Linked DNA regions of Pelodiscus sinensis. The protein of the gene in region 1 interacts with the protein of each later gene in a biochemical or structural test. Links are inferred from orthologs where the notes say so. Each region holds a gene or a part of one and is shown in the gene's direction. Other genes may lie near its edges.

Region 1 (10,657 bases):
ATTGCTAACAAAAGGCTAGCAATGCAAACTAGGGCCAAAGTGAAACAGTCCTAACAAACCCTTAAAAAAATCCAACTCATTTTGGGGAGACAAGGTGGGTGGACCAACTTCTTGTAATGAGAGACACAGGCTTTTAAGCTACCCCAAGTTCTTCTTCAAGTTTGGGAAAGGCAGTCTTATCATTTTTGAGGCTATCATTGCTATATTACACACTGTGTAATCAGGCAGGTGTGCCGGGGACAGTCCTTACTTGAAATGCCACAGTCAGGGCAGGCTGCACTGGAGTTAACCTTCCTAACCAGTCACAAACTGTGCTTTTGATCTGTTCGCCCTATCCCAATACACACACTGGTTATAAAGAAACAAAAAAACATAACCCCCTTTATTGCCCTCTAGTTCTCTGGCTCCCAGTTAGAACCTAGACCCAGTACAGTGAGAAGTTATTTTAAAACTCTGCTCACACATACAAAATATTCTTCTGGACCCAAAGGGCCAACCATATTACCAGCTCACTATTGGTTTGCATCTTACCCAAAATACCATGCTGCCAGCCAATCCTTTAGCATCTAAAACGAAAAGTTTATTAAAGAAAAAAGAAAGACCGAAGAGAGGTGTGAAATGGTCAGACAGTCACGTACATACAACTTCAGGTTCCCAGTTGTACTGGTGAATTTGCTGGCTTGAAAGTCCCTCTGGAACACATCCACAGTTTGGATGGGTCATTCAATACTTTGCTCATAGCTTTTTTTGTAGACTGGTTACTCCAGAGGTAGGCAGCAGGAATGGAGACAAAAGGGAGAAGATGCGGTTGCCTTTTATATTTTTTTTGCCATATGGCTTCTATTTCCTTTGTCCCAAACACAAGCTGCCCAGCACATGACCTGGAAGGCTACGGCTACACCACAAAGTTTTACTGGTGAAACCTGCCTTTTGGCGACAAAACAGTGAAAGCATAGACACTGAAATGAGACTTTTCTTGGGAAAAACACCCAGTTTGGGCGACAAAAAACTTCCACAACTATGAGAGACTTCTTTCTTTTCCCCTCTGTTTATTGTCGACAAAGACTCAGTGTAGACACTGCTGTTTGTTTTGTCAACAGATCTGTCTTCCATCAGTATCCCATAATGCCTGCCCTGATGGCCCTACTTAGGTTTGATTCAACTGCTCTGCAGGCATGCAGCCCCTTTCCTTCAAAGCTCCCAGAAATGCCTGACAGCTGAGTGAGCTGCTCCATTTGGGGAACAAAGAGCAAATAATTGGAGTGCCCCTGTTCCGCCCTGCACTAGGAACACAGTGAACCTAAGAACAGCCTCTCTCAAACAGAAGCTGCGGACACCATTTCTACCCATCCTGGCTAATTGCTATTGATGGACCTAACCTCCATGAAGTTATCTAGTTCTTTTTTGAACCCTGTTAAAGTCCTGGAGACAACTTTCTGTTTCAGAAGGTTGAAAAAGCTACCAGAGGAGAAGCTGTTCTGGATTTGATTTTAACAAATAGGGAGGAACTAGTTGAGAACTTGAAAGTGGAAGACAGTATGGGGGACAGTGATCATGAAATAATAGAGTTCATGATCTTAAGGAAAGGTAGAAGGGAGACCAGCACAATTGAGGTAATGGATTTCAGGAAGGCAGATTTTGATAAGGTCAGAGAACTTGTAGGTAAGGTCCCATGGGAAGCAAGACTGAAGGGAAAAACAACTGAAGAGAGTTGGAAGTATTTCAAAGGGACGTTGTTAAGGGCCCAAAAGCAAACAATTCCGCTGTGTAGGAAAGATAGAAAATACGGCAAAAGACCAGCTTGGCTTAACAAGGAGATCTTGCATGATCTCAAAATAAAAAAGGAGTCCTATAAAAAATGGAAACTAGGACAAATAACAAAGGATGAATATAGGCAAGCAACACGGGAATGCAGGGGCAAGATTAGAAAGGCAAAGGCACAAAATGAGATCAAACTAGCTACAGGCATAAAGGGAAACAAGAAGACCTTTTATAAATACATTAGAAGCAAGAGGAAGACCAAGGACAGGGTAGGCCCACTGCTTAGTGAGGAGGGAGAAGCAGTAACAGGAAACTTGGAAATGGCGGAGATGCTCAATGACTTCTTTGTTTCGGTCTTCACCGAGAAGTCTGGAGGTGTGCCTAACATAGTGAATACAAGCAGAGAGAGGGTAAGTTTAGAAGATAGGATACACAAAGAACAAGTTAAAAATCACTTAGAAAAGTTAGATGCCTGCAAGTCACCAGGGCCTGATGAAATGCAACCTAGAATACTCAAAGAGCTGATAGAGGAGGTATCTGAGCCTTTAGCTATGATCTTTGAAAAATCATGGAAGACGGGGGAGATTCCAGAAGACTGGAAAAGGGCAAATATTGTGCCCATCTATAAAAAGGGGAATAAGAACAACCCAGGAAACTACAGACCGGTCAGTTTAATGTCTGTCCCAGGGAAGATAATGGAGCAGGTAATTAAGGAAATCATATGCAAACACTTGGAAGGTAATAAAGTGATAGGGAATAGCCAGCATGGGTTTGTGAAGAACAAGTCATGCCAAACTAATCTGATAGCTTTCTTTGATAGGATAACGAGCCTTGTGGATAAGGGAGAAGTGGTGGATGTCATATACCTAGACTTTAGTAAGGCATTTGATACGGTCTCGCATGATATTCTTATTGATAAACTAGGCAAATATAACTTAGATAGGGCCACGATAAGGTGGGTGCATAATTGGCTGGATAACCGTAGTCAGAGAGTTGTTGTTAACGGTGCTAAATTCTGCTGGAAAGTGATAACAAGTGGAGTTCCGCAAGGGTCTGTTTTGGGACCCGTACTGTTCAATATCTTCATCAATGATGTAGATATTGGGATAGAGAGTACGCTTATTAAGTTTGCATATGATACCAAACTGGGTGGGGTTGCAACTTCTTTGGAGGATAGGGACATAATTCAAAATGACCTTAGCAAGTTAGAGAAATGGTCAGAGGTAAACAGGATAGAGTTTAATAAAGAGAAATGCAAAGTGCTCCACTTAGGAAGGAACAATCAGTTCCATACATACAAGATGGGAAGCAACTGTCTAGGAAGGAGCATGGCGGAAAGGGATCTAGGGGTCATAGTGGACCACAAGTTGAATATGAGTCAACAGTGTGATGCTGCTGCAAAAAAAGCAAATATGATTCTAGGTTGTATCAACAGGTGTGTTGTAAGCAAAGCTCGTGAAGTCATTCTGCCGCTCTACTCTACACTAGTTAGGCCTCAGCTGGAGTACTGTGTCCAGTTCTGGGCGCCACATTTCAAGAAAGATGTGGAGAAATTGGAAAGGGTACAGAGAAGAGTGACAAGAATGATTAAAGGTCTAGAGAACATGACCTACGAAGCCAGGCTTCATGAACTGGGCTTGTTTAGTTTGGAAAAAAGAAGATTAAGGGGGACATGATAGCGGTTTTCAAATATCTAAAAGGGTGTCACAAGGAGGAAGGAGAAAATTTGTTCCTCTTGGTTTCTGAGAACAGGACAAGGAGTAATGGGCTTAAAGTGCAGCAAGGGAGGTTTAGATTGGACATTAGGAAAAAATTCCTAACTGTCAGGGTGGTCAAATATTGGAATAAATTGCCAAGGTAGGTGGTGGAATCTCCCTCTCTGGAGATATTTAAGAACAGGTTAGATAGACATCTGTCAGGGATGGTGTAGACAGAGCTTGGTCCTGCCTTGAAGGCGGGGAGCTGGACTCGATGACCTCTCGAGGTCCCTTCCAGTCCTATGATTCTATGATTCAGAACATCCTCTGGCAGAGATTTCCACAGGTTGACTGTTCACTGCATGAAGAAGAACTTCCTTTTGTTTGTTTTAAACCTGATACCTATTCATTTCATTTGGTGACCTCTAGTTCTTATATTATGGGAACAAGTAAATAATTTTTCCCTATTAACTTCTTCCGCATCAATCACGATTTTATACACCTCTATCATATCTCCCCTTAGTCTCCTCTTTTCTAAGCTGAAAAGTCCCAGTCTTTTTTAATCTCTCTTCATATAGTACCCACTCCAAACCTCTTTTTTCTTTTGTTGTCCTTTTCTGAACCTTTTTCAATGCCAATATATCTTTTTTGAGATGAGACGACCACATCTGTACACAGTATTCAAGATGTGGGCGTATCATGGATTTAAACAGAGGCAATAAAATCTTCTCGGTCTTCTTCTCTATTCCTTTTTAAACTATTCCTAACATTCTGTTTCCTTTCTTGACTGCCGCTGCATATTGAGTGGATGTTTTTAGAGAACTAGCCACAATGATTCCAAGATATCTCTTGAGTAGTGATAGCTAAATTAGTCCCCATCATATTGTATGTATAGTTGTGATTATTTTTTCCAATGTGCATTACTTTACACTTATCAACATTAAATTTAATTTGCCATTTTGTTACCCTATAACTTAGTTTGGGGAGATCTTTTTGAAGCTCTTCACAGTCTGCTCTGGTCTTAACTATTTTGAGCAGTTTAGTATTGTTTGCAAATTTTGCCACCACACTGTTTACCCCTTTCTCCAGATCATTTATAAATAGATTGAATGGGATTGGTCCCCATACAGACCCTTGGGGGAACATCACTAGTTACCTCTCTCCATTAGGAAAACTTACCATTTATTCCTACTCTTTGTTTCTTGTCTTTTAACCAGTTATCAATCCATGAGAGGACTGTCTCTCTTCTCCCATGACAACTAACTTTACAGGAAACCCCCGACTTCCAACTGCCTGAGTTACGGTCTCCCACACTTACAACCATTTTTGTAAGTGAGGAAGGGGTCGAAAACCCCCAACTTACGTCCTCGTCCCACATTTATGATGGCGCACGGTGCCTATCATAAATGAGGGTTCAAGTTACGATGCCCCTGACTTGCTACGCTTCTCCGGGAACCAAGCGCATTGCAAATCGGGGGCCACCTGTATTTAAGAACCTTTGGTGAGGGACCTTATCAAAAGCTTTCTGGAAATCTAAGTAAACTATAGTCATTGGATCCCCCTTGTCCACATTTCTGTTGACCCCCTCAGAGTACTCTAGTAGATTAGTAAGACATTATTTCTCTTTACAGAAACCATGTTGACATTTCCCCCAACAAATTATGTTCATCTATGTGTTTGACAATTTTATTCTTTACTATAGTTTCAATTTATTTGCACGGTATAGACATTAGAATTACCAATCTGTAATTGCCAGGATCACCTCTAGAGCCCTTTTTAAATACTGGTGTCACATTAGCTATAGTCCAGTCATTAGGTACGGAAGCTAATTTAAAGGTTAGGTTATGAACCACAGTTAATAATGGTAGACAGACTACTACTGCAGGTGTGAGGGGGGACAGGCTGCTGTGCTGCTTTGACGTTCCTTAGCTTGGAGAGCTCAAAAAGCTGCTCATGATGTTGTTCTTTGGCAGCTGAAGAGGCTGCGGGAGAACTTAGGGGGAATCCCAAAATGCACAGGAATCAGCTCTGCCTTCACACAACTGTGGGATATGTTTTGTACCCACACTGCACTGCTCATACTGTCAATGATGGTGCCCCCAGTGCAGACATGAGAGCAAGTGTGAACACCCTCTGGAGATTTTTGTTTTGTCTACCTTTGGCTATCGACATCAGTTTTGTTGACACAACTTGGTAGTGTAGACATACCCTTTAGAGTTCTGTCCATAGACATGCCCTGACATGCCTTGCTGAGGCATCAGGTGTATCTCCTGCCTTCTCTCAATGGGTCAGTTGAATAGCTGGTGTTCTTTGGTGGGAAATCAAGCAGGCTAAGCAGTGCATACCCACCTATGAGCATCCCCCAGCAGATTAGCACAAGTTTGTAATACAGACACACACATATCTATAACCCAAAAAACATAGGTGATACAAACATATAACTGAGATTATCAGCTTTGGTAGATTGTAACAATTTTGCAGATACTTTACATGGCATGGGTGGCATATTTGATTATCATTCTACAGCAGTATTTCCAAATGGTGCTCCACAGAACCCTGGGGTTCCGCGAAGTGAAAACAAGGGTTCCGCAAGACAATTCCATTACAATAACATTTTATGATTTTTTTTTAAAAAAATATATATTTAAGCATTTATGAATTTCATTTAAAACAATTTTCATTTGTGTTTGCCATGATAAGTGTCTCTGTATAATGCCAGCTTAGCCGGAGAGTGGGGACGATGATATCACTACTCAGCGCTGTGCTGCCAGTCAGTGGTGCACTCGCCTGTTATATACCACCGTAAATCCCCGTACTCACTCTCAGGGAGCATGGATCACGTGGGTGACTGAATACGAATATACTAGCGCTGCGTTGGACAAAATCGAAACTTCAGCTGTCAAACAAGTTGCTGTTATTAAGGGTTCCGCTAAATTCTTTGGCGTTTAAAAGGGTTCCGTGGCCAAATAAAATTGGGAAACACTGTTCTACAGATTTCATAATATCCTCCTGTCCCCCAAATTCCATACAGCGTCACACACTGACTTCAATGTGGCTACTCAGTTTGTAAACCAGGGCCAAACTTGTGAAGCTAGCTTTGAAGCTAAAAGTAGTACTGCTTTCCATGAGTTTGTACAGGAGCTAGTTTTTCATGACTCCTCCCACAGCAAGGTGGAGGCGGGCCCGAGAGAAGAACCAACCCAACTTTAGAGTTAGTAAAAGAACTGAAGCCAGACTATAGTGGCTGGAGCTTCCTGGGGCCGGGGCCGGAGCTTTGTGAAGTGACAGGTAAGGGCACTTCCATTCTTTGCGCCTTTAAGAAGAGACTAGCGATGTTTCCGCTTGTTTGCTTTAGTTTTCTTTTAAAAAAGTTCACAGGAGCTGCACGTAGGCCTGCCTGGAACTCGGGTCCTTTTATTTTTCCTTCGCGTTTGAATAGACACGCTGTGCAATATTTCATTATATTAAGATCAAGGCCTTTTGGGGACCTGACGTTGGAGAGAAGGGGGAACGTAGGACTCTTCGATTGTCGTTTTCCACTAAAACTTCCCTTATTATTGCCGGAGGGTGAGAGTTAGTTTCAGTTTCAGCACCATGTTGTAAAGGCCGGATTTTTTGCAATCTCTTAGCAAATTCTAATGGTGGAACGAGCCTTCCGTGTTTCCTCTTCCTGCTCCAGTTCCCGGTGCATTTCTGCCCCCCTAGCATACGGTAACTAGCTTTCCTAATGGTCACATAAACTTTCGCTCTTGCAAACACACAGCGGGCTCCTGTATGTGTCAGACACTGTTGTATCCTGAGCCCTTGATTCATGCGCTTTCTTTGGTGTGGTGTGCTGCGGGCTTTAACACACCGACCCAGCAACTCCCAGCTGAAGGACTAAGGTAGAACACCCCCCCCACACACACACACACACACACACACCCCGCCGCTCCCCTCCTGCGCGCTGTGTCTCACGCTTTAACACCGGACTTTCCCGGGCTGGATGCGATCCGTGGGAAGCGGGGTTGTAGGCGAGGACCCGGTCTCTTTAAGACAGTTACCTGGCCCGGGAAGGGCTCCGCCCTGGGCTGCTGTGCAGGGAAAGGCGTGTGCGCGTGGTGAGTCCCCATGTCCCGGGACAGGGCAGGGGCGTTCTGCGCTAGTGACGGTGCAATGCGATTTGGGAGTTGCCGGGGCGACGACAGAAAGTGCAACTCTGAAACTCTCCGTTGTTGCGATCGTTGCGGTTTCTGTCATGCATACATGAAATGCGGTGCTACTGCTCAGGACTTGCTACCTTTGCTACCTGTCCTTACAGCGGGCAGTGACGCGTGGATTTCCTCCATTGGGCTGCCTCCTCCTCTGCTTCCTTGCGGGACGATCCCTGTGGCTCCACAAGGCGGGAGAGGGGCTTTTATCTCCTCTCCTCCCACTGTCCCACCCGCAGCCCGAGGTGGGGAGCCCCCACTGCTGCTCATCCTCAGGGGTCGGGAGAGCAGGGGGGGGGGGATTTCCATACCCCGTTCCCATGCCCAAAGGGGGAGTAGTGAGAATTTTCACCTCCTGCCCTCCACTCTTGTGGTACTTGTTATGTGCACACCCACCTCAGTTTTGATAATAAAAAAAAAGAGGGGGCCCGCGTTCATCGAAATGGGTGCAAGGTGCTAATGATGTAGTGACATCCAAAGCCTAAAAAGATGGTTACTCTCCTGAAGGACAGGGGCAGAACGCAGTGACAGTGCTGTGGAGCCTCCCTCCTCCCCCTTTCATTGTTTAACCTATTAAATGGGATTTTACATCCCAACTTCATCCTAATAGAAAACTGACCATAGCACCAGTCAGAGTCTCTCTGAGGACTTTGTAGGTGTCATCTGAGGGCGTGGGGGGGGGGGAGGGGGGAGTTCAGTAGAGTTCAGACTGTGAGAGGGGGACAACTTCTGAATGGTAAAACAAGGAACAAGGCTAATGAGAAAATAATCTTAGTTACGCAACATTACTTCTTGTGGTAAGGGTGTGACAGGATGAAGGTTCAATGTGCCTGCTTAATGGGAGGAGGACAACAGCTGCTGAGGGGGACACTGCATACCAGGCTCGTACTTCCCCCCATAATTCCCTATTCCCTTTACTTATTCATCTTCTGCCCTTTGTTCCCACATTTCCCTCCCCCTGCCCTATTCTACCCCCTTCCTTACCCACTGCCTCTTCCCACCCTGTCTAATCCCGCCTTTTCTCATTTCTTCCACGCTTCCAAACCCAGCCCCTCCATGGGCACTCCCTGTTGCACAGAAACAGGAAAGCTCTTGACACAGAGAAGGGGAGCATGTGTGGTACTAGGACCCAAAATATGGTGTTTTGCTGCAGACACTCAGCAGAGGCCAGATGCTGTCTCCTTCAGCTGGGTCCTAGCTCCCCATTTGCAGAAATAGGGTGGCAGTGGCAGGTAACCCTTTGTGCCACCTCTGTTGGGGGAGGGGTGACCCCCCCATAAAAACTGCACCCATGGTCACATAATCATAGGACTGGAAGGGACCTCAAGAGGTCATCAAGTCAAGTCTCTTGAATTTATGGCATCTCCAAGCACCATCTGACAGGTGTTTATCTGACCTGCTCTTAAAAGTCTCCAATGATGGAGATTCCACACCCTCCCTAGGCAATTTATTCCAGTGCTTAATTGGGATGTAAAAATTAAAAAAAAATCAAACCCACTAATTGTGTAATCAATTGGCTGGGAGTTTAACTGGTTAAATTCTTACATCCCTAGGGTTTACATTTTTTCCTAGCGCCAGAAACTTTTCCCTAACATCTCGCCTAAATCTCCCTTCCTGCAATTCAAGCCCCTTGCTTCTTGTCCTATCATTAGAGGTTAAGAAGAATAATTTTTCTCCCTCTTCCTTGTAACTTTTAGGTACTGTACTTGAAAACGTATGTCTCCTCTCAGTCTTTTCCTGACTAAACAAACACATTTATTTCAATCTGCCCTCATAGGCCACGTTTTCTTGACTTTTAATACTTGTTGTTGCTCTTTGCACATTTTTCAATTTGTCTACATCTGTCCTAAGGATGTAATAATGTAGTCGATCAACCAATAAGCAAAAGTTTATAGGTTAATGCTATAGACTACACGCATTTCACCTCCCCCTCTTTGCCAGTAAATTTTTAGCAGGCTGGCTAGCAACTTGGCTCAGTCCTCGCTCGCCCTGGGTCCAGGATCTACTACCCCTGCGGCTTTGCATTTAAAGTGTATTAGGAACCGGGGGGCAGGCAGCCTGGCTCAGATCTGGCTTGTGTCCAGTCTGAGTACTCAGCCCCTCTCTCCCCGCCCTGGACAGAGACTGCTGCCTCTGACACACAGGCAGCAGCACAGGGCAACAGTCAGCAGGTCCATGAGGGGAGCTGGTTTTTAAACAGGCTCCCCTTGCAGAGCAGCTCCTTCCTGGGACCCCACGATGCTGCCTCTGATACAGAGTCAGCAGTGCAGAGAGGCAGGGGGCTACTTGGGAGTGGGGTCAGCTGGCTCAAGGAGTAGCTGGCTCTCCAGGAGCTAAGCTAGCTGCACTGCAGGCTTTGCAGTACAGGTTGACCCTCTCTAGTCTGGAAACATCCATGCTCTGGAATGATTTTAGTTAGCTGGATGTCCACTTTTCATGGGTGTTTTCCACGGTCCTATAAATTTTATTTAGAGCCACAAATCCTAGATCTGTGTTATTATTTAGCTCTAATTTACCCCCTAAATGTCCTCTACCAGCCCAGTAAGCAGTGGAAGTGCTGGTAATGCTTCTAGACAGCATTGACTTCCTATGGTCTGGAAAGTTCACTGGTTGAGAACTGATCAGGTCCTGAGGGTGCTGAACTAGGAAGGTTGAACCTGTATAAGCTTTATATTCTCTAGTGTTCAAATACCACCAACCTTTTTGGTGAAAACCAAAATAAAGAAATCATGAAGCACTTCTGCTATTTCCACATTTTCTGTTATTATTTTGCCCTCTTCATTGATTGAATAATGATCCTACCCTGTCCTTCTTGGTCTTTCTCTTGCTTCTAATGTAGTTGTAGAATGTTTTATTGTTATCCTTCATGTCTCTAGCCTGTGTGATGTCATTTTGTGGCTTGGCACTTCTAATTTTGCTCCCTTGTCCTTCGTGCCCCCTCTTCCAAGCAGCTGCCTGACATTTTTTGAAGGAAAGCACATGAATTGGGGGATGCATTTTCTGCAGGCA
Region 2 (10,767 bases), on another chromosome or scaffold:
TGCTTAAGTCCTAATGCCTCTTGGGTAGTTCATACCTACGCCCAGTGAACTTCTCAAATTCCCCTGCTTCTCTTGTCTATGGGGCTTGTGTACCAGATTTGATCCTCTACAAAACATAGTTGGATCCCAAGCAGTTACAGCATGCATCCAGGGAGGTCTGGATTCAAGTCCCTGTTCCCTGCAGGGTAGACTTGAACCTAGCTCTCTCACCACATGGGTAAGCACTCAGAGCACTTGGTTATAGATACGGCCTACCAATTTCACAGCCATTAAAAATGTGTCATGCACCATAGATGCTGATCTTTTGTGTGTTTTGCTCTCTACTGTACAGATTTCATGGGGGAAATCAGCATTTCTTAAATTGGGGGTCCAGATCCAAAAGGGAATTGTGGGGAAGCCTCAAGATTATTTTAGGGGATAGCAGTATTGCCACCCTCACTTCTGCACTGCCTTCACAGCTGGGCAGCTGGAGGGTGGTAGCTGTTGGCCAGGTACCCAGCTCTGAAGGCAGCACAGAAGTGAGGATGGCAATACTGCAACCCATCAGCAGCGGTGCAGAAGTAAGAGTGTCAATGGCATGCCACACCCACCTTACTTCTGTGCTGCTGCCTTCAGAACTGGATGGCTGAAGAGTGGTGGCTGCTAATAAAGGGCCCAATTCTGAAGGCAGCAATGGTGCAGAAGTAAGGATGACAATACTATACCATGACATCAATACTTCTGTACTGCTGCTGGCAGTGGCGCTGCCTTTAGAGCTGGGCTCTTGGCCAGCAGCTGCTGCCCTCCAGCTAAACAGCTCTGATGACAGGGCCACTGCCAGCAGTACAGAAATAAGGGCAGCAGAAACACAATTATCACCCTCCTGCACTCACACACACATAAACAAAAAATTTGCAAACACTCATCACCTTCTTTTTGGGTCAAGATCCCTACAATTACAACACTGTGAAATTTCAGATTTAAATATCTGAAATAATCAAATTTGCAATTTAAAAAATCCTATGACCATGAAATTGACCAAAATAGACTGTGAATTTAGTAGGGCCCTAGTTATAGAGGGAGGGGGAACTACCACTTCCTCAGAGTTTTGTGAGAAAGGGCTAAGCTAACTTCAGGACAAGGATCATGGTTGTGAATCCCAAATGGAGAGGCCAGAATCAGGTGCCTAAGTCCTTTTGTAGGGTATGCTTTAAGCCCCATCCCTTATGCTGGCATTTCCTACTGGCTAGTTTGCACAGCGCCCTGCTCAGTTTTCTGGCTTTGTGAATCACATTCCAGGTGCCTTTCTCTATGTATTATATAGACAGCCTATGCAAATGTCAGGCTGTGGATCCCACTAGACAGCAGGGCACTTAAAAGGAGGAACTGCAGTGAAAAAGTTAAAATACATCAGTTTTTTAATCTATATGGGATCATCCCTTTTCCCAAGCACAGCCCTGACTCAGTGAACACAGGGTAGAAAGAAGAGGAAGACATACAGATGCCCAACTCCTGCTTTCCTCGAAAATCTTTTTTAAAATCTACTTTTTCTGTAATAACTTTCCAGGTCTGAGGCCAGAGACAGCAAGGTGCTGAGCAACTTCAGCTCCCAGAGAAGTTAAGGCGGGGGAGGGAGGAATTCAGAACCACAGAAGGAGTTCAGCACTTTGCAGGGTTCAGGCCCTTTATTACAACATGCACTGGATCCTGTACCTTTAGGTTGTCAGCTTTTTGGCCAGGAACCTGTTATTTGTTCAGTACAAATCACTTGGGGTAAGTCTACACAGCAACAAAAATAACAGGTTTTATTTCAAAATACCTTAGTCCGTGTCTACACAGCAGGCAGTTATTTTGAAATAATGTCAAAATATTATCAAGCTGGAGGATTTCTTACTTTGACTCCTATAACCCTCATTGTACGAGGAGTAAGATAAGTCAGAAGAAGAGTGCTCATTTCGAAATAAGTGCTGTGTAGACACTCCCAATTTCAAAATAAGCTATGCAATTAACATAGCTCAATTTGCGTAGCTTGTTTCAAGTTAAGCCCTGCTGGGTAGACACACTCTCACACGAACAACGTGTAGCTGTTTTGTTTATGATATGTTAGAAGGCAACTATCGAGCTTTTCTAAGACAGAGTTTTGAAAATATTGTTTTAAAAAACACTTGATGCTTATTAATTAACATGAAATTATGTATATAACCTGATAACCCTTTACAAAGAGATACAAATTGAAGATCTCTGTCTTCATGAATTTACAATGTTAGGCTCCAGGCCCCGTACATGAGTAACTTTACTTATGCAAGTAGTCCTACCATCCTACAGTCAATTACCATGAAATTATTCACCTGCAGGAGCAGATTAAGGCATATTAAAGCATTATAAGCCAAACCCCTGGAGTCATGGTATTACATCAGACTCTAACCCTTCATTTAAACAAATATTAAATTTCAGGGTTACCAAGAAAAGCCTGAGAATGTGAACCAAGTATAACCAAATCAGAGACAGCTCTTTGAGTGTGAAGACAACCTGAAACAATAGTTATAAGTGGGGGGAACCACAACATAATGAATGGGGTGTCAACTCCATAACCTCCTGCTCTGGAGGACCCTGCCAAAGAGAACTTTGTGTAGCAAGAAAAGAATGCAGTGATCCTGACCCACCTAAGCATATACATCCTAGCAGGTGGGATTGAGTACTGCAAACCTCTTTTGCCACCTGTACCTGTCTTCCATGTGACAGAGAGCCCACAGTGATTATGAAAGGGAGGGGTCCTGAACTGTCATTCCTAGCAAGAAAGTTTGCTACCCTTCTTTTGCTGGGAGAGAACTACCTCCTTACCCCCATCAGTGCCACTGTAAGTGAAAGGTAGAATCACCAAATGCAAGGGTAGGGCCATGAGGGCAGAGCTATGGGAGCCTAGGGCATCTAATTACCATTACTCACCTCTGTTCTCTTGCATAGTTAATGGTGCAAATAAGGCCTGAGCTTCAGGCACATTTCCTACAGATGTATCTGTTGGTTAGGGGTATGCCCATGTCCTGATGTAGTTACACCAGCACAAACCCTAGAGCAGAGGCAGTTGTACCAGTCTGAGTGGGAATAGCAACTCCGGGGTGCGTCTGATTAAGCTAACACCATACTAAGAAGGCTGAACCACTGTAACTATTGACATAACCAGGTACAATTTTTGTGGGTTGACAAGGGTTAATTAAGCCTTGGCAGTGGCAGGAGGCTTTTCCCCTGTAGGGCCCCTGACACGCAATTAACAGTTGCAAGCTGAACTTAAAAAAGCAACAGTCTGGTAGCACTTTAAAGACTTAACACACCATGTCGATGGTATCATGAGCCCTGGGTTGAGCACTAGGCTGCAGGACCAGCTACAGGTCACAGCCTGCCCCTAGGGGGCTGCAGGTAAGGCCTGGCTCTGCCCGTAGGCGGCTGCGCTGGGCAGGAGGAGAGCGGGCTGCAGCCGGCCAAGGCGCTGGCCAATAGGCGGCCCCCCTGCTGCGGCGCGGTGCGGGCACACGCAATAAGGCTCCGAAGGGAGCGCCCCCACTCCCGCGCCAGCGCGCTGACTCAGACGGGGAGGGATGGCTCAGCCTCACGGGGCGGGGCTTAGGCCGTGGGGCCGGGCTTGCTCGCGCAGCGCCACCTCTGGGCCGCGGGGCAAGCAGCAGCCTCCGCCGCAGCAGCAGCAGCTGTTCGCTCGGGTGTCACATGTCGGAAAGTCCCTGGCGCTGGGGGTGGAAATCCCCGGCGCGGGCTGGGGCTTTTTTCCCTCGGCTTAGTAAAATAGAAAGGAAAAAAAACAACAGCCCTTGACTCCAGTTTATAGCCAGCGCAGCAGCAGCAGCAGCAACAGGGAGGGAGGGAGGGGGCGGCCGAGGGAAGCCCAGCTAGGCGCTGTGAAGGAGCCAGATTCTCCTGCAACCCAGTCGGGTCGGGCATTCATGGCTGCCCAGCTTAGCGCTGCCCTCGCCTGCGTGCACTGATCTTGAGAAGGATTGTATCCGCCGCGCTGCGCTCTTGGAGGAGCCCTTCTGCAGAAAGGTACCGCGCTTTGTGCTGCTTGTGGCAGTCGCTCCGTGGTGGGGCACCGAGGAGTCCTGGGGGTGGTCTGGACCATGCCCTGGCGAGCATTTCTGGCTTGCTTCTGTGGGTGAGCGTGTGTATTTATTGCAAAGGGCCGGTTGGTAACGAAGGCTCCGGTGGTGGCAGCGGGAGGTTTGCTAATGGATCTGTGTTTGACTACCCCTCCTCCCCCCCCCCCCCCCGATCCTCTTGTGTGTTCTTCCCTTTAAAAACTTGGCTGGCGATCCCAGAACGTACATACGGGGAGGAAAGAAGGTTTGGAGAGTAGACAGAGGAAAGGGCAGGCAAGGATGTAGCGAGGCAGTGACACCCAGCTGTGGTAGTGTAAGTTACATAATTATTGATGACAGCTCGTGTAGGCAGTTATGCAAGAGCTATTGTTCTGATTGTTTGGGGGGGGGGGGTTAAACGTAGCTTGTATACTGTAATCTATTTGGTGGGTTGGGGGCTACTAACGTTCCATGAGAAGTGGATTTGCTATTATTGTCTTAGCTACACTAACAGGTTAGTTCCAATTTCCCACCATTATAACCCCACTAATGCAGCTCCACTGTTGGAGTATTAGTGTAAGCAGGTTGCTTCTGGTTTTTTGGGCCTACACTGAGTACAGTTCAACAGTAGACTAGCTAAACCACCAATAGGTTGTCTACATTAGTATTCCCACCATTGCTAAGTTGCAGCAGTGAGACATTTTGAAGAAAAACAACCTGCATGTACACCTCAAATCGCCCAGTAGGGGGTAGAGAGCTGGACTGCAAACTCAGAGCCATGGTGTCTGTGTTCTTGTCAAATCTTACAGTAGCACTATGCTTAATCCTATGCTTAAACCTTCTATTTGTGATTTTTTTTTTACAAATAGCCTCATTATTAGTAGTTCCTGATTTCTTTTTCTAGTAAGAATCTGTCTTTAGTTACAGAGAGCATTAATATATAATACTTTGCACTTATGTAACGTGTTCCATCTGAGCATCTAGGATGAAAGTTCCTAAACAAATATGAATTTATACAATGCTTTATCAATACCAATGACTCAAACGTCCTATCACACTTGATAGAACTAGGTAGAAAACTGGCAAGGCAGTATAACTGAACACAATATAAATAGGAATTCTGCATGAAAAGAGGAGCATAACTGGTATACCCTTTACTTGTACCCTTTTGGTTAAGTATTTTTTCCTTATTCCACCACTTGCTGTAAAGCATATTGTGATGCTTTATGAAGGTGATATATTTGAACTGTATTTAAATGGTGACCATCTGGGGAATTTGGATAAATAATAAAAATCAGTGCTATGGTAGTTATCATTCAGAGATGTTACTTTTGGGGTTTATACACTTATTAAAAACCTTTTAGGTAATGAAGTTATTGACCAACCCATTTTGTTTTGACCTGGTGTCCTACATCCTGCCACCTACTGGCCTTATTCTGGTTTCTCTGGTGTACTGAAAAGCCAAGATATTATATATTTCTATTAGGTTTACAAATACTGCTCATACTTGACAACATTCCTTGAAACAATGTCCCTTCAATATATAAAGTGAATTGCATAACCACCCATTTGTTTCTTTCACACTCAAGACAATCACAGTACCAACAAGCCAGATCCGGCTAGATGATGATGTATGAATGTTACAGACCCTCATCTCCCATTCTTTTAAAATAGTTATTTGTAAAATGTTGACAATGTGCCATGACCTGTACAAAGTCCACGCAAAGACCATCTCTGCCCCACTGACATCAGTGGAACTTGAGGGTACTAAGTTTGTGGCAAGGTTGCCCTAGTAATGTCCAGCTCTTAAATAGCACTTTTCATCTGTAAATCTCAAAGTGCTTTGGTTGATAGCATTATCCTATTTCCATTTTACATAAGAGAAAAACGAGGCACAGAGCAATGAAGTGACTGGCCAAAGGTCACTCAGCAGGCCATGCTAGAGACAGAAGTAGATCTTTGGAATCCCATCCAGTGCTCTGTGAACACTACATAAATATGAAAAGGATTATTGAATATGAAGGCTGAATTTAAAATAATTTTGTTTGATCTTTTTCAAATGACTGGGATCTATTTTTAAAAACAATTATTTTTAACACCTCCTGAATGTTTTATGCTTTGTTTTATTTTATCTTATCCAGTTGTAAACAGCTTTTTGGTTTGTTTTTTAAAAAATGTACTATTTTTAAGCATGATTTTTAAAAGCACAGTTAAATTGATAACTAATAATCAAAATGGCTCAGATTTTCACATATAAGGGTAAGAATGTAGTTGGAATAAAAGAGAGGCAGAAATCTAGTGCTGAATAACTTATAAATTGAATTCACCTTTTTTAATGCTAAACAAATTGCTGTCTTCATTGTTACTTAATAGTGGAAAGATCCATTTCCAGGGCACAAGCTTGCAATACATAATCAGATGAGGAGTCCTTATTCATGAAAAAATTCCATGACTCAATGAGTCTGCTTGTGTATATAAGAGTTTGATGGATCAGGGATTGGAAGTTGCTGAAGAAGATAAAGGACATGACACTTTTATATTCTGGTTATTTTGTCCCGCATTCTTAATTTTAAAAATTAGTATGATGTGGAAAATATGTGCCATTTCCTTTGGACAAGGGGAAATAGACAAGATAGGAAATGAGTTAGTTAACTTTGTAATGAATATATACTTATAAAAACATTCAGTTAACTCCCCAGTTGAGCAGAAATGGGGTACACATTTTTTTTTCATCATGAGACACCCCATTGCTTCCGATCAATACTCCATAGAAATTCAGCTAAGTGTGCCTACTGAGATCTTCTGCCAGAGATTCTTGGGAGGGAATGTACAAAGCAGCTCTAGGCAGAGCAGTTTGGTGTAATAACTACTAGGCAGTTCCTTTCTGTAGCTATTGACCAGCCACAGGGGAACTTTCACAATGGCAGTTACCAGAACCAGGGAGATGTAGAGGGAAGCCCATATAACTATGTGGAGGAACAGATTACCATGCAGGATATCTCCTGCGTGGCAGATGAGGCTTTCCCTTCCTGGTGTATCTGTGAGATTGTAATTCCTTTCCTCCTGCTTGCTCCATGGCTCTCCAGGCTCTTATCACTAGAGAGGACAGTTTCCTAAAAGATGTGAGGTTTAGCTTTCATTTGCCTCTAGCCTTTCTCTGTTTGGCCCCAAATTAGAAATCACAATATAGGTGTCATATTCTTTTAAGACATTTGATGAGGAAAAGACTTGCGGAGTTCTCAAGTGCTAGAAATGTAAGGTTTATATACATTTACTTTTCTAAAAAAATGCTTTTAAAAAACATTAAGTTGGGTTGAGCACTGAGAACCAGTGAAAGTACATGTGTGCAGATGTACTCTGTGTTTACACTTGGTTCTAGTCAGACACAGTGCAAAGACCTGATTTGCCTAGAACAAGTGTGAGGCTTGGAATGCCATTCATAGCTATGAATTTATGTTCTCCAGTGTGACTGGAGGTGAGGAAAGGAGCAAATAGCATTTGACATTACGTGTTGCACATCGGAAAAATATTGGGAGTTTTGAGCAAAGTGGAAATGCTTCTTCAGCTCTCTTGATTTACCCTTGAGTAATAATGGGTCTGATTCCGTACCTTCCCACCCCCATGCACACATGCATATGCTTCTGCAATAATCCTACCATTAACATAACCTAAGGAATGTTCCTATTATGTAGGTGTCTGATTTAATACCAGGTGCCTATCATGCTACAAATGTTTCATTTGTCATTAGGTTAATTTTAAATCTCATATGAAATCTTAAGCCTGGGCTGGGAGCTAACTTTGCATGTAGCTATTGTAGCTCAGTGTTTTAAATATTGCACTACATGTCACATTGCTTTATGCATGTTCTGTCACTCATCTGTAAATCTGAAGCGATCGATCAATTTTCTCTGGCACGTGGTCAAATTGAAAGATTAAAGTGCATTTAAAGTTCAGCAGGTTCACTGGAGATTACGCTGCTCAATTGTTGATTAGACAAAGCTCCCATGGTAATTTCCCCTCCTCTTGTTCTCCCCTCCCCTCCTCTTCACCCCACTTCCATTTAAACTTCTCCTTTTACAAGTGCTGTAATTTCATTAGTTCATTATGAATACTTGCTTCTCTTTAATAATAAAGAGAAGACAGAGTAAAGAGACTGGGATTAGTAGTTCAGGATCTATAGCAGAGTAATGCTAAGAGGTGGCTGGATTTCATATTATTTATATAGCGCTCACCATGGACTGTGTGGTTTACAGGCAGAGTTTCAGACAAGGTCTCTGCTCTAAAGAATTTGCAGTCTAAACCTCTGTACCAGCAAGAATCCTATAATATACATTGTGAGACTAAAAAGATTGTCTTTCTTTTTTCCTTCAGGTATCTTCTCAGAAATGGCTGTCCAACAAGTTCTTCCCCAAGCTTTGTATCTGAGCAATATGCTGAAAGCAGTGAAAATTAGAGAGAGGACTCCTGAGGATCTTGTCAAACCCACCAATGGAATAATTCATCACTTTAAAACAATGCACAGATACACAGTAGAAATGTTCAGAATGTGCCAGTTTTGTCCTCAGTTTCGGGAGACCCTTCAGAAAGCTTTAATTGACCGGCCCACCCAGATTTCACTGGAACATGAGAGGAAGCTGAACTGGTGCAGGGAAGTTAGGAAACTTGTACCATTAAAGACTAATGGTAAGTTGTGTATGTGTCACTACACTGGTATTAAGACAGGGTACTAAGGATCTAGCATATTGTATTAATAGGCTTGTTGTTTTAATTACTAAGATGAAAATATAGTTGTTTTATTAAAATAATGTCTATTTATTGTAGCAACACAAATTAACATCCTATTAGCACGACATGCCAAACCAATTATTAATCTTTAAGGATTTACAGTGTACATCAACAGGTTAAAAATTTCATGGAGGTTTGGTAATATCATAAATCTTTGGTATGGTAGAAGAATATGTTCTTACCTATGAGAACCTCAACTCTTACAATGCTAGTATTTTTCATGAAGCTTTCTAATATTCTGTAATATTAGTTAGTGTAGCATTATATATGATATGGCCCCTCGTTGTTGTTTGCATGATATACTCTGTTGCTTATGATTTTCTGCTATAACCGTAAGTACTGTACCAATTGGAACATCTTAGATTTACAATTTTTAGCTCTCTGGCTGCAGTGTCAGCCCTTAATTAAGCTAATTAACGCTAGGTTGCTTTATGGGATAAGACAGCTTTCTTTCCCCGACCCCCCCACCCCCCACTGGATCTGCATAGTGCCTATTTTAATTAATGACAGTTACATACATGTTTCACAAGGTGCATAATTCCCCTTGATTTTAAATGAGAGTTAAAAAAAAAGTAGCATATGGCGCTGCTTTTAATATATTTTGTATTATTTCAGGGCCTTGGAGGTGATTTGAGAGAGGGACTTTATAAATGTGTGTCTTGTATATCCTGAAAAAAACAGTGCCAGTGTAGTATAACCTGGGCTAAAATGCAAAGATTTTGTGAGCAAGGGATGTATATTTAAATTTAATTAGCAGTGAGTTCTAATGGATATGAGAGTGTGAGCTGCAGAATATTGCATGTTCCCCATAACATATTTTTTTCATATGGGTACACATACACATTACTGAGTCCTAGTTCACATTTCTTCTCACAATCTACAGTGTTCTGTAACTACTACTCTTACTACGTATAATTACATTTTACAAAGACTAATTTAATCATGAAAATAGAAGCATCACTTACTACTAACTAACAAGATTGATTAAACATAATATAGGTCTATAAGTCTGTAACAGTAATAGAAGACCTGATCCTGCAATGAACATAAATTGTCCTCTTTACTCGTTCCACCAACTTCCAAGAGCCTCTGCCTGGGGACCACAAATGTGGAACTCCTTGCAGGATTGACACCACATTTAGCTCTTTTTGCAGTACTTTGCAAGCACTAAATAAGTGACCTTCTCATGAGAGTTGTTTCACACAGTCTATTTCATACAGTGTAATTTTAGCCATGGTGGTCCCAGGATAGTAGAGACAATTAGATCCAATAAAAGTAATTACCTCACCCACAGTACAGGCAGTCCCCGGGTTATGTACAAGATAGGGACTGTAGGTTTGTTCTTAAGTTGAATTTGTATGTAAGTCGGAACTGGTACATATTGTAGGGGAAACTCTAGCCAAACATTTCTCCAGAGCTCAGTTTTATTCTCCCACACCTCACTTCCCTCAGTCCTTTATTCTCAAGCTGAGGTGTCTGCTGAGAAAATCTGCTCCGGGTCTCCCTGGTCTGCTGGGGGAAGCAGCTAGTGCGGGGTTGCCTCACCCCGTTTGTAAGTAGGGATCCGATGTAAGTCGGATCCATGTAACCCAGGGACTGCCTGTATATTGCAGTCAAACAGATTTATTAAGAAAATGTATAATCTAGTTGATTGCTCCTTAAAATGAATAAAAACATTTTAGACCCCAACCTATTGCCATTAATATCATAATGTGATGCACCATACTCTGAATACATTTTATTTGTGTCAGCACTAAGGAACATTATTTAAAATGGAAATAGTGTAATGGTTTCAGGTTGTGACATATTCCATCTGTGTATTTGTACATTAGATGCATTGCTCTGTTGTTAAAATTGATGATTTTTTAATTGTTTTTTAATTCAGTCCACTGCTCCCAAATCAATAGGGCTATGTCTA
Region 3 (9,813 bases), on another chromosome or scaffold:
GAATGTCTTAGCCAACTTCTTAGATTCTCCCTAACAAATTTCAAATGAGGGAACACTTGTATCCCATTAGCAATTATTTGCATAATGGAATTTTGTAGTAACATAGGTAAAATAATAGCTTACTTAAAATAAGTTCCTCAAGTATAAGACACTCCCCAAGCAGCAAAAAATATCTTTTAAAACTAGGCAGTCTAACTATTTAATCTAATAGTAGTAGTATCAACTAGCTAGCCCGTAAGCAGAATTTTGAAACAGCGGTGGAGAGCAATTCCTCCTAGAACAATTTTCTTGTTATATGTGGCATTTATATTTCATATTATTGCAGAAACCAATTTAAGATGTTTATTCCCAGGCAATGCATTAGTCAATAGGAAATGCTGAAGGGAGATTTAAAAACAGTGAATGGTGGCTAAATTGATTTGCCGTGTTACTACAGAAAGGAAGAACAGCCAAAGGAATTGGAAATTGCTTTCTCTAGGTCCAATCATTTTGGTATTATATAACCGAAGAGCAACCCCAAATCGCTCTTTGAGGCCTTGATCCTGCATCTGTGTCTCGTAGTCAGACTAATGGGCCCTAGCAAAGCCCCCATTGATTTCACTTCTAGTAGTATCAAACAAGAGAAAGTGCAGGCACATACAGAATTTTTTCTCTCAGCTATGTTAAAGGCAGGTGTGCATGCGTATTCTGCTACTGACACTCAATCTACACCTTTCCATTATGAAAATTCCATTGCTGGTGAAGAAATACTGGTTGGATCTCCCTGGTAAGGATGTAAGCAACTAGTCGAGAAATGCTTATTGGGTAGTCGAGTAGGAACTCGGCTAGTCGCTTCCCCCCATTGCTGCCTCTATCAGAGAGAGGCAACAGAAGGTGGGCGAGCAGGAGCTAGTGCTGGGGGGGGGGGGCAGCTTAAAAGCTGGTTCTCCCTCCAGCACCGTCTCCGTGGGGGGGAGGAGAGGCATAGGGCAGCAGGAAAATGGCGTGAGTGGGCTTGAAACATCTCACTTGCACTGGTCCCTACTGCTGCTCCTCTCCCATTGAAATGTACAAGAGCCACCTGCAGCTCTTGTACATTTCAAAGGAAGAGGCACAGAGGGGAACGTGTGCTAGCAGGGACTGCTTCAGTCCCTGCTGGCATCGGTTCCTGCTGCTTCTCTCCCTTTTAAAATGTACAGGAGCAGCAGGAAATTCCACTGATTACTCAATTAGGTGATTAACTGACATTGAACATCCCTAGTCCCTGATCCAGCACCCTTAGATCCTGACTAGTCCTGGATGAGGGATTTTGCCAGACATGGGGAAGTCATTTCTGGTCCCCCTGCTGCTGGCCCCCCTGGCCTTCCTCCACTGGGCTGTCTGACTTGCCCCTCCCCCTCCACCGCCCAGATGAGCCACACACCAGCTTTCTGCCCCCACTGCATCATGCTGGATCCTGGCCCCCCGCAGAGTGCCTGACTCTCTGATCTGGAAATATTCGTGGTCCTTCTGGATCAGAGAGTTCCAGTTTATAGAAGTGCAACCTGCATATTGTAATATCTGCCTCAGAAGGCCATGTCTGAAGACAAGACTGCTGCTGTGAAGAGGCAGCTGTGTGGAGGCTTAGTTCCAACCCGTTGCCCAAGAGCAATATGACAATCTTGTGCCCCCACCAATCACAAAACATTTAAGTTGGCTTGCCCCGCACAAAGATGAGAAATGTAAACATACAAGGACTAATATTTATAAAATGTGAAAATAGCCAGTAAGCTAAAAATAATCAAATAGAAATTATTAATGGGAAAGGGCTAAGCAAATAGAAAGGGGGCAAAGTTTCAGAACCAGGAAACAGCTCACAATCTATCTTTCTCTGTATATAATTTAAAACAAAGTCAGGGTTTGATTGTGCAGAAACACGAGATGTGCCTGGAATTCGATTGTTTTCCATAACATGAAAAGGGAGGAGACTCAGCAGAGGATCGCTATACTCACAGTCACCACTGGGGACAGCAGCAAGTGCAGGAGACAGCTAAACTGCAGAGTGACCATTAGGGACTGCCGCACCACCAAGGAAGTAGCCAGCTAGGGACGAGATCTCACCATCTTGCCTGCACCAGCCCAAGTAAGTGGTCCTCCTACCCAAAACCCTGACCCCCTATGGTCCTGGTGCCAGGCCAGGGGGGGAAGTCCTGCTGGCCCCACCACTGTAGCCCCTCTGGGAGCACTGCTGAAGTGGGCAGCGCAACTCTGGCCCCTGACACAGGAGCCACAAACTGTCCTCTCCCAGCACAGTCAAGGCTGCCCAGCACCACCCTTTTGCCCACCCCCAGACTGGGCCCGGGGAGCGCCAGCAGAAGGCTCCCTTCCCTCCCCCTGCCTTGGGATGCCCCTCCTGGGAACAGGCAGGGGAGACTGCAGATCTCTTTCCCCCTAAATTCAAATGAGAACGTTGCTGGCTGTTCCTCTTCGTCGGGAGCAAGGGGAAAGTGTTTGCTCCATTCCTCACTCTGACTGGGGAGCGAAGGGGGCAGAGGAACCTGAACCTACCCCAGCCAGGGGACATGCATCTCTCTCCTGACTGTGCCATCTGGAGCTGCAGCAGCCATGGAGAGGCACTTCTCACCTGGCCCCAAGTTGCTGTGGTGAGAGAGGACTGGGGTTGTCCTCTCTCCCTGGGGCAGCCTGCATACTGAACCCCTAATCGCTAGCCCCATCCAGAACAATGATTTAAATGCAGAAAAACAAAAAATAAATGAGTTAAAGACCCAAGCAATGCTTGGTAAATCATCTAGTAATAATATATTAATATCATACTAGCATATGGGCAGTTGTGCTGGGAGGGGAGAATACTGTAGCTGAGAGCAGCTGTAAATCATTGGAAACCAAGAGAAAGTCCAGGACACTGTAGGCCTTGAGAACTTTTGGGGGCAGAGTAGCCAAGAGAAACTGATTGAGGGAGACAGACAGGAAGAGAAAGCCAGCCTCATTTTAGTCAGTCTGGGTCCTAAGGAGATACAAAGAACAGCACAGATTTAAAAACAGGTATTACCCCATCCTCTCATTCACAGACTTGTAGGTTCAACCATGCCACATTCATACTTCACTTCCCTCTCTTTCCCTTTCTGTTGTAAATCTTTCAGAAAGTTTCAGTACTAGAATGCAGACACCATTCCCATCCTCCTGTGTGCATTACTGTTTCAGTACCACAACCACTCCTCCCTTTGCTTTTGGGAAACAATGATCATTCTTTTTTTTTTAAATAAGGAAATTCCCAACATTTTTTATGCTTATTTTGTTGCTGTTGTGGTTTTTTAAATTTGTTTTGTTTTAACATAAGATTACTAAATTAATCTCCACTCACAAAAACAGTTGTGAAGGAACATTACAAAGTTATAAAAATTAGTTTGTCCATAAATATGAATTCTCATTATAGTCACTTTGTAAATTTAGTCATATTAAACTAACTCTGGAATGGAGAGCCTTAGTTCTGTCAATCTCAGTTTAAAAGGGGCACTTTGAGTTAAAAGTCATGTGTTGTGAGAAAACATTTTTTCTTGTCTGTGAATTCAGTCCTACACTCCAGAAAGATGCTCTGCTGTGCACAGGCAATTGTAGGCTCACTGATGGCTTGGATCCCGCAAAAACACATGCTTAGCTACATGCCTCAGTATAGTCAATGGGACTACTCTCAGTGAGTAAAGTAATGCAGAACTGGAGCCTGCATTACTAATAATGACACCTTAGATCCAGGGGGCAGAAGGGGGAAGATGTTTTGTGAGTTGGGAGCCACTGACCCACAGAAAAATCAGTCAGGGGTGCACACCACACAAGTAAGAGGCAAGCCGGGGGCTGCATCCAGCCTCCCATATCCAGCCCCTGGGCCTGAGATTCTCCACCCTTGCCTTTGATTTTTAAATTTGACAAAGAATTTTAAAACCCATTTTATTTTGTACTTACGTTGCTTGCTTTTTAAAATTTTCCTCAATTTGGACAATGAAGTCTGTTTTAGAAACCTTTGTTTCTAATTTGTTTAACGTGCAGGTATGCAGCACTGCAGTATTTGAGTTGTGATCACTGCAGGAAGATGTTTATTTAAAAAAAAAAACACCCTAATTTTCATTAGACTAAAGCAATATAGCAAAATTTGTACCCAAGGCAGATTTTCCTACTTTGTACAAAAGCTAAAAGTTCAGCCAAACTGATCCCTTCCAAAGGTTTTTTGATAGTATAATTATTCATAGATTCATAGACTTTAAGGTCAGAAGAGACCATTATGATCATCTAGTCTGACCCCCTGCACAGTGCAGGCCACAGAATCTCAACCACCCCTCTTAGAATAATCCTCTCACCTATATCAAAGATATTGAAGCATTCAAATACTTTGAAGGACCCAACATGCAGAGAGTCCTTCAGCTGTGATCTGTGCCCAATGCTACAGAGGAAGGCGAAAAACCTCCAGGGCCTCTGCCAATCTACCCTGGAGGAAAATTCCTTCCCGACCCCAAATATGGCGATCAGCTAAACTCTGAGCATGTGGGCAAGACTCACCAGCCAGACACCCAGAAAGTTCTCTCTAGCAACTCCTATCATCCCTCCATTGACCTATTTCCAACTGATAATGAATGGTCAATTAGTTACCAAGATCATGTTATTTCATGCTATTCTATAGCTATTACAGTCTGCTATAGATTACAAATAAATGCCTGCATTTTAAAGCAGCTGCACTATGGGCTGGCGTTAAGGTTATATGTTCAACCTTAACTCTCACAGTTCTGACTCTGGAGTCTTTTAAACAGTCATCCTCTCTCATGGATGGACACCTGAGCGCTGCAATGAGTCACAATCAAGTTTCCTACGCAGGCCCAAGAGCAATGTGTTCCTGCCCAGACCGGATTACAGAAGTTTTCGGTGTAGCTAGAAAACCTGTCTCTTACTAACACAGGTGAGTCTAATAAAGGATTTTTTTTGCATCACCCACCTCTGTCTGGTTGCCAGGGCTGTAACACCGCTTCCAAAGAACAATGTCTCGGGGGGGGGGTTACAGTGTTCTCAGGTTACACTCGGCACTTCCCAGACGCGCTCGCTGCTCGTCTAACACGTGGGAGCGCCTGTGTCCACAACACGGATGGCGGCGGCGCTTTCCATGGCAAAGCATTTGACCTCAACAAACATGGCCGCCGCATTGCCTCGTCCCCTTGGGAAGGCTGGGGGAGGGCGTTTCCTGCCCAGCCCTTTCGCCTTCAACAAAGATGGTGCCTCCAGCGCCGAGCCGGGAGCGTGTGTAACCCCCGGCTTTCCGGCTGTGAGTACATTGCAGTGGGCGGGAAAGAGCGCTGGCTCCCCCGTCCCTTGCCCGTGCGCTGGCTGGGAGCCCTCCTGCCGCTGCACTGGCTGCACGCCCCTCTCCTCCCTTGCCACCCCGGTCGTGGCAGCTCTCCCCCTGGCCCAAGCGGCGCTGGCTGTGGAGGCTGAAATCCCGGCAGGTCCACGCACACCAGGGCAGCGCAAGCCCTGACAGCCTGTCCGCCCCCAGCAGCAGCAACTCCCTGCACTGACAGGTCTTACCGGCTCCGCTGACAGCGATAAGGAGGGTTTTGAAGAGACGCACCATGGTGCTGGGGGTTATTTCTAATGCTGCCGAGCCGGGGCTGAAAACAGGGGAGGCTACAACACTCCTGCCTGGCACAGCCCCAGGGGATTCGATCCACTCCCGAGTCGTACCCAGCTACCGTAGCTAAGGGCTTTTTGCCCTGTTTGTGTTACAGACACACGGAGGTGGAAAAAAAACAAAACAAAAACCAACAGCCAGACCCAAAGTCTGACGTCTAGGAGGTGTAATTTGTTGGTGGATTCCCGTCTTGCTAGTTACATTACCAGCCACTCCAAAACGCGACAATCTCACCACCTACGGGAAAGCAGTTCTCAATGAATTTCAGGCAGCACTCTGGTGATCTGTGTATTTACACAGTGTCCGAGGCAGTAGCAGCATATATCAATGCCATGAAATTACCAATGTCTCCCCTGCAGCTTTGTGACATGATCACATTCTTCAGGAGGAATAATGAGGAGAGAGAGTCTTAAATTTTACCTGCTGGAATATATGAGCAACAGAAACTTACTAACCCTGCAGTGCCAGTAAGTATGAATGGCAAGAGCCAAATCAGTTTGTTCTTCATTGTAATGGATGCACCTGTTTTATAAATTCTGTATCTAGCTTATGAAGCACTTTCCAACTGAAAAAGCTGGAGAAAATCATCCAGACCTCACAAGCTGAGAATGAGGCCATGTGGAATTAATGGTTCATATAATTCCTGCCTAACTAGGCACTAACTTCCTTACTGAAATGTGCCAGGAATCAGAGGATCCAATTCAAATTACAACTGATTCACAGAGAAACCGATTAATGCAATAGCTATTACATCTAGGAACAAGCCAGAGTGCTTATTTCAAAGGTTAAATGGGTATTGGGAAGCTATTCAGAGCAAGATTTTGAACTGTCATTTTTGGTGTGCTTTCACATCAATGTATGCATGCAAACATTAATTTCCCTTGGTGTCAATAGCAATACCGATGTGCAAGTTAGGGACTGTGCAAGGACAACTGAGGACAAGTAAAGTATGGTCCTAAGGTTGAAAAATTACAAACCTTTAGAAATATTTGGAAAAACTATAACTTTGGCCTCCTTGCTTGATGGACAGCTTCTTTTCTTTGATAAGGGATGATCTGGTATTTTATCTCTCTCCTTTCCACCACCGTGATCATTATTATTATTTTTTTAAAGCCTCCTTTAGTTTGATACTGGATCCCTTGCAGACAGTGGTTATAGTAGAATGGAACAGGAGGGGGAGCTCTCAGTGCAACAGTCTGGAGGGGGAAACAAAGTGAGAATGGAGTTGGGGGTGAGCTGACTCTTCTGTACTTTTAACTGTGCTCTGTCTTAAACTTTCCTCCCAGGCTGATCTCACCTCAAGATCCATAGTAAGACTCCAGGTTTGCTTTGTGGTTCCCTCCATTCCCCCAATATCTTCCCAGCCTTAAAGCCATGAAAGACATTTTTTTTAATGATGCTTAAATACCAAAGAGGTTGTTAAGATACTTTGTTAATATCTCGCTTCACACCCCCAGCAGCTTTTAGCAAGGATCATGACTGTCAGCGCAATTTTGGCTCTACTAATCACTTACAGTATGCTAACATCTTTATGGCTGACCTAGAACAACGTTTCCTCAACTCCCGTCCCCTTTCACCGCTAATCACTTACAGTCTTAGTGGCCTTTACTTTCTGGAAGGAAGCCGCATGGGGTGGGGGGAGATTATGTGGAATGCTATATGCTGGGAAGATGGGTATGTGGCAAGAAGAGTTCAACTGAGGTTGAGGAGAGGAAAAGAGAACAGTGCTAGCTATTCCTTCTCTCAAGAAATGGTAGATTCTGTGCAAAAACTGTTGTGTTTTTTATGGAGGAACTACCATAAAAGTAATTTAAATCTTTTACGTTTATGGGGCATCAGGAGGACTGTTTTCAATGGGTAGCTTATATTGTGTGTGTTTCCAAATAATTAAAGACATATTATTATATTGTATTTTTAATACAAGCTGAGCTGTTTCAGAGGCTGAAATGTCTTTCCTTTTAAATCTTTTCACAATGAGTCTGTCCTGCCCTAATTCCCAGTTTTTCACTTCCTGCAAAAATAGTGATTTACTGAGGTTATGTCTAGGCTACGTTGTTCTTTTGGGATACTTCCAGTATCCCAAAATAGCAACACTGCGTCTTTTAAAGTGTCTGCTATTCTGGTGTCCCTGTAACCCTCATTCCACAAGGGTTAAGGGATTTGTCGGAATAGTACCTTATTTTGAAATTTGGCACTGTGTAGACAGCGCCAAATTTCAAAATAAGCTCTTTCGACTTGCGCTATGCAAATTGCATAGCTTATTCTGACAGAAGGGTGCTGTCTAGACTCACCCTCAGAAACATGCTATTTTAATTTTGCAGGGTTGGGGCCTTAAGGTATTCCAATGGCATCCCTTTGCCAAAGAGCTTATAGGATTGTGGCTTTTATGCTTCAGTTCAGTTCCCATCTAAGTCTATGGCAAAACCACCTTGACTTCAGTGGGAGAAAGATCAGGTCCCAAATTCATGGCCTCAGGTGAGAGACAAGAAATCAAACTGCTAGCTAAGGGGAAACTGAATATAAAATGCTAGCCTGAAGGAAAATGGCTGAGCAGCGATAGATGGTTCCCACTTCAGCTTATCTTGGTGTGGTTCTCTTTTGACACCCTTTTGAACATGAAAATAGCTCTCTTTGATGTTAAAAAGGGAAGCCTTGTAATATCTCATGTGTCCTGCTTCTTTTCTTGCATGCCTCATGACAGGATGGATACCAGAGACAGGATGGTTCTGCGTTCCCTGCGGCTGGAGCTCTGCTCAGAGGTGCTGGTGGAGGAGCTCATCGTTCATTATCTCTACCAGGAAGGCATTCTAACAGAGAACCACCTTCAAGAAATAAAGTCCCAAGCCACCAGTCACAGAAAAACCATGATGCTTCTCGATATCCTTCCTACCAGAGGCCCCAAGGCCTTTGAGACGTTCTTGGATTCCTTACAGGAGTTTCCATGGGTGAGAGAGAAACTGGAGAGAAAGCGTAAGGAAATGATGGGAGAGGATCCTATAGGTAAGGCCAGAATTATCCCTGTGGTTTTGAAGCTGGCTTTCATAGTGCAGCTACTTGTCTGCTAATTTCTTGGTGTTATTGATAGTGCAAATTATTCCAACATTTTGGAATGAGAGAGGCTGTGCCAACTAGAGGTGATGCTTAGTGTCCATAGTAGGCCACACACCATAGTTCTTGAGAGCCAGCTGAGTGAGAGAAAGTAATGCAGATTTTTTGAGATGAGCAAAGGTTAGGCTGGGTTCCTATGCGCTGGTAGGTAGCGCAGCAGAGAAGAGAAAGATGGGAACTTGATTCAGAAGGAGCAGAATCTGGAGGGCACAGGCAGGGAAGAATCAATAGGTTAGAAGGGACCACAAGAGTGATCTAGTCTAAGTCCTGCCTGGATGTGAGATTTGTTGCACCTAAACCATCCAAGATAGATGGCTATCCATCTTCCTTTTTGAAACTCTCCAGTGAAAAAGGTTCCACAACTTCCTGAAGGAGATACTAGACCTCCCGGGCACAAAAGGACTGTGATATAAGCTAAGGAATGATGTTAATTGGATGAAGAACAGGTCTAGAAACCACATAATCACCCAAGCATACCAGGGTCTAGTCTTTTGTTAAGTAAAATGTACATGTTAGCTCTATATGTGCTATAGGGCTTTTATTCTGTGTTCTAATTGATGGATATTTGTTAAAAACTTGTCTTGCTTTATGTTTGGTAGACCATGTGTGGCATCACAAATAGATTCCAAAGGCCCCCTGTGAAAGCATAAAAATGTGATAGTGACACAAGAACAGTTAGGAATGAAGCAGATCTCTGAGTGTCCATATATAAATTATTGTATAATTTTAAGGGATGCTTCAAATTTCATTTTGGGTTTGTCATTTACACTAAAGCTTCCTTTCCCTCACCTGTGTAAGGGTTGTGTGTAAATGTAAGTTTATGCCAATTTTAAGTACCCTTTAAACTCCCAGAGTAGTGTAAAGTAGGCATCGGTGTAAGTGGGACTCAGTCCCTCCATCTTAAAAACCCGCCCCTCCCCTCCAACACTTGTCCATTGCTCAATTACAGCAGGAGAAGCTGAGGGATGTTGTTAAATTTGCACAAATTAGAATACAAACCTTGGTGTTCTGACACTTATTTCAAAAACTTTTTTACTTCCAGACTGTAGTTTTCTAGA

What was found.
Region 2: of the proteins of RIPK1 (region 1) and TNFAIP3, one has a biochemical effect on the other in vitro, tested with the Homo sapiens proteins (2 studies listed by BioGRID). The link is inferred for Pelodiscus sinensis from reciprocal best matches to the Homo sapiens genes RIPK1 and TNFAIP3.
Region 3: the proteins of RIPK1 (region 1) and CRADD form a complex in vitro, tested with the Homo sapiens proteins (2 studies listed by BioGRID). The link is inferred for Pelodiscus sinensis from reciprocal best matches to the Homo sapiens genes RIPK1 and CRADD.

What each region holds. Positions count from the first base shown.
Region 1 is NC_134712.1:115,468,366-115,479,022, reverse strand, and holds the start of RIPK1 (receptor-interacting serine/threonine-protein kinase 1), read left to right. Parts: upstream 1-6,615; 5' UTR 6,616-6,746; intron 6,747-6,773; exon of another isoform or gene 6,774-7,342; intron 7,343-10,657. UniProt on the Homo sapiens protein: Serine-threonine kinase which is a key regulator of TNF-mediated apoptosis, necroptosis and inflammatory pathways.
Region 2 is NC_134713.1:98,274,914-98,285,680, forward strand, and holds the start of TNFAIP3 (tumor necrosis factor alpha-induced protein 3), read left to right. Parts: upstream 1-6,202; 5' UTR 6,203-8,297; coding exon 8,298-8,334; intron 8,335-8,435; coding exon 8,436-8,747; intron 8,748-10,767. UniProt on the Homo sapiens protein: Ubiquitin-editing enzyme that contains both ubiquitin ligase and deubiquitinase activities.
Region 3 is NC_134711.1:80,087,782-80,097,594, forward strand, and holds the start of CRADD (death domain-containing protein CRADD), read left to right. Parts: upstream 1-5,248; 5' UTR 5,249-5,281; intron 5,282-6,006; 5' UTR 6,007-6,040; coding exon 6,041-6,114; intron 6,115-8,333; coding exon 8,334-8,647; intron 8,648-9,813. UniProt on the Homo sapiens protein: Adapter protein that associates with PIDD1 and the caspase CASP2 to form the PIDDosome, a complex that activates CASP2 and triggers apoptosis.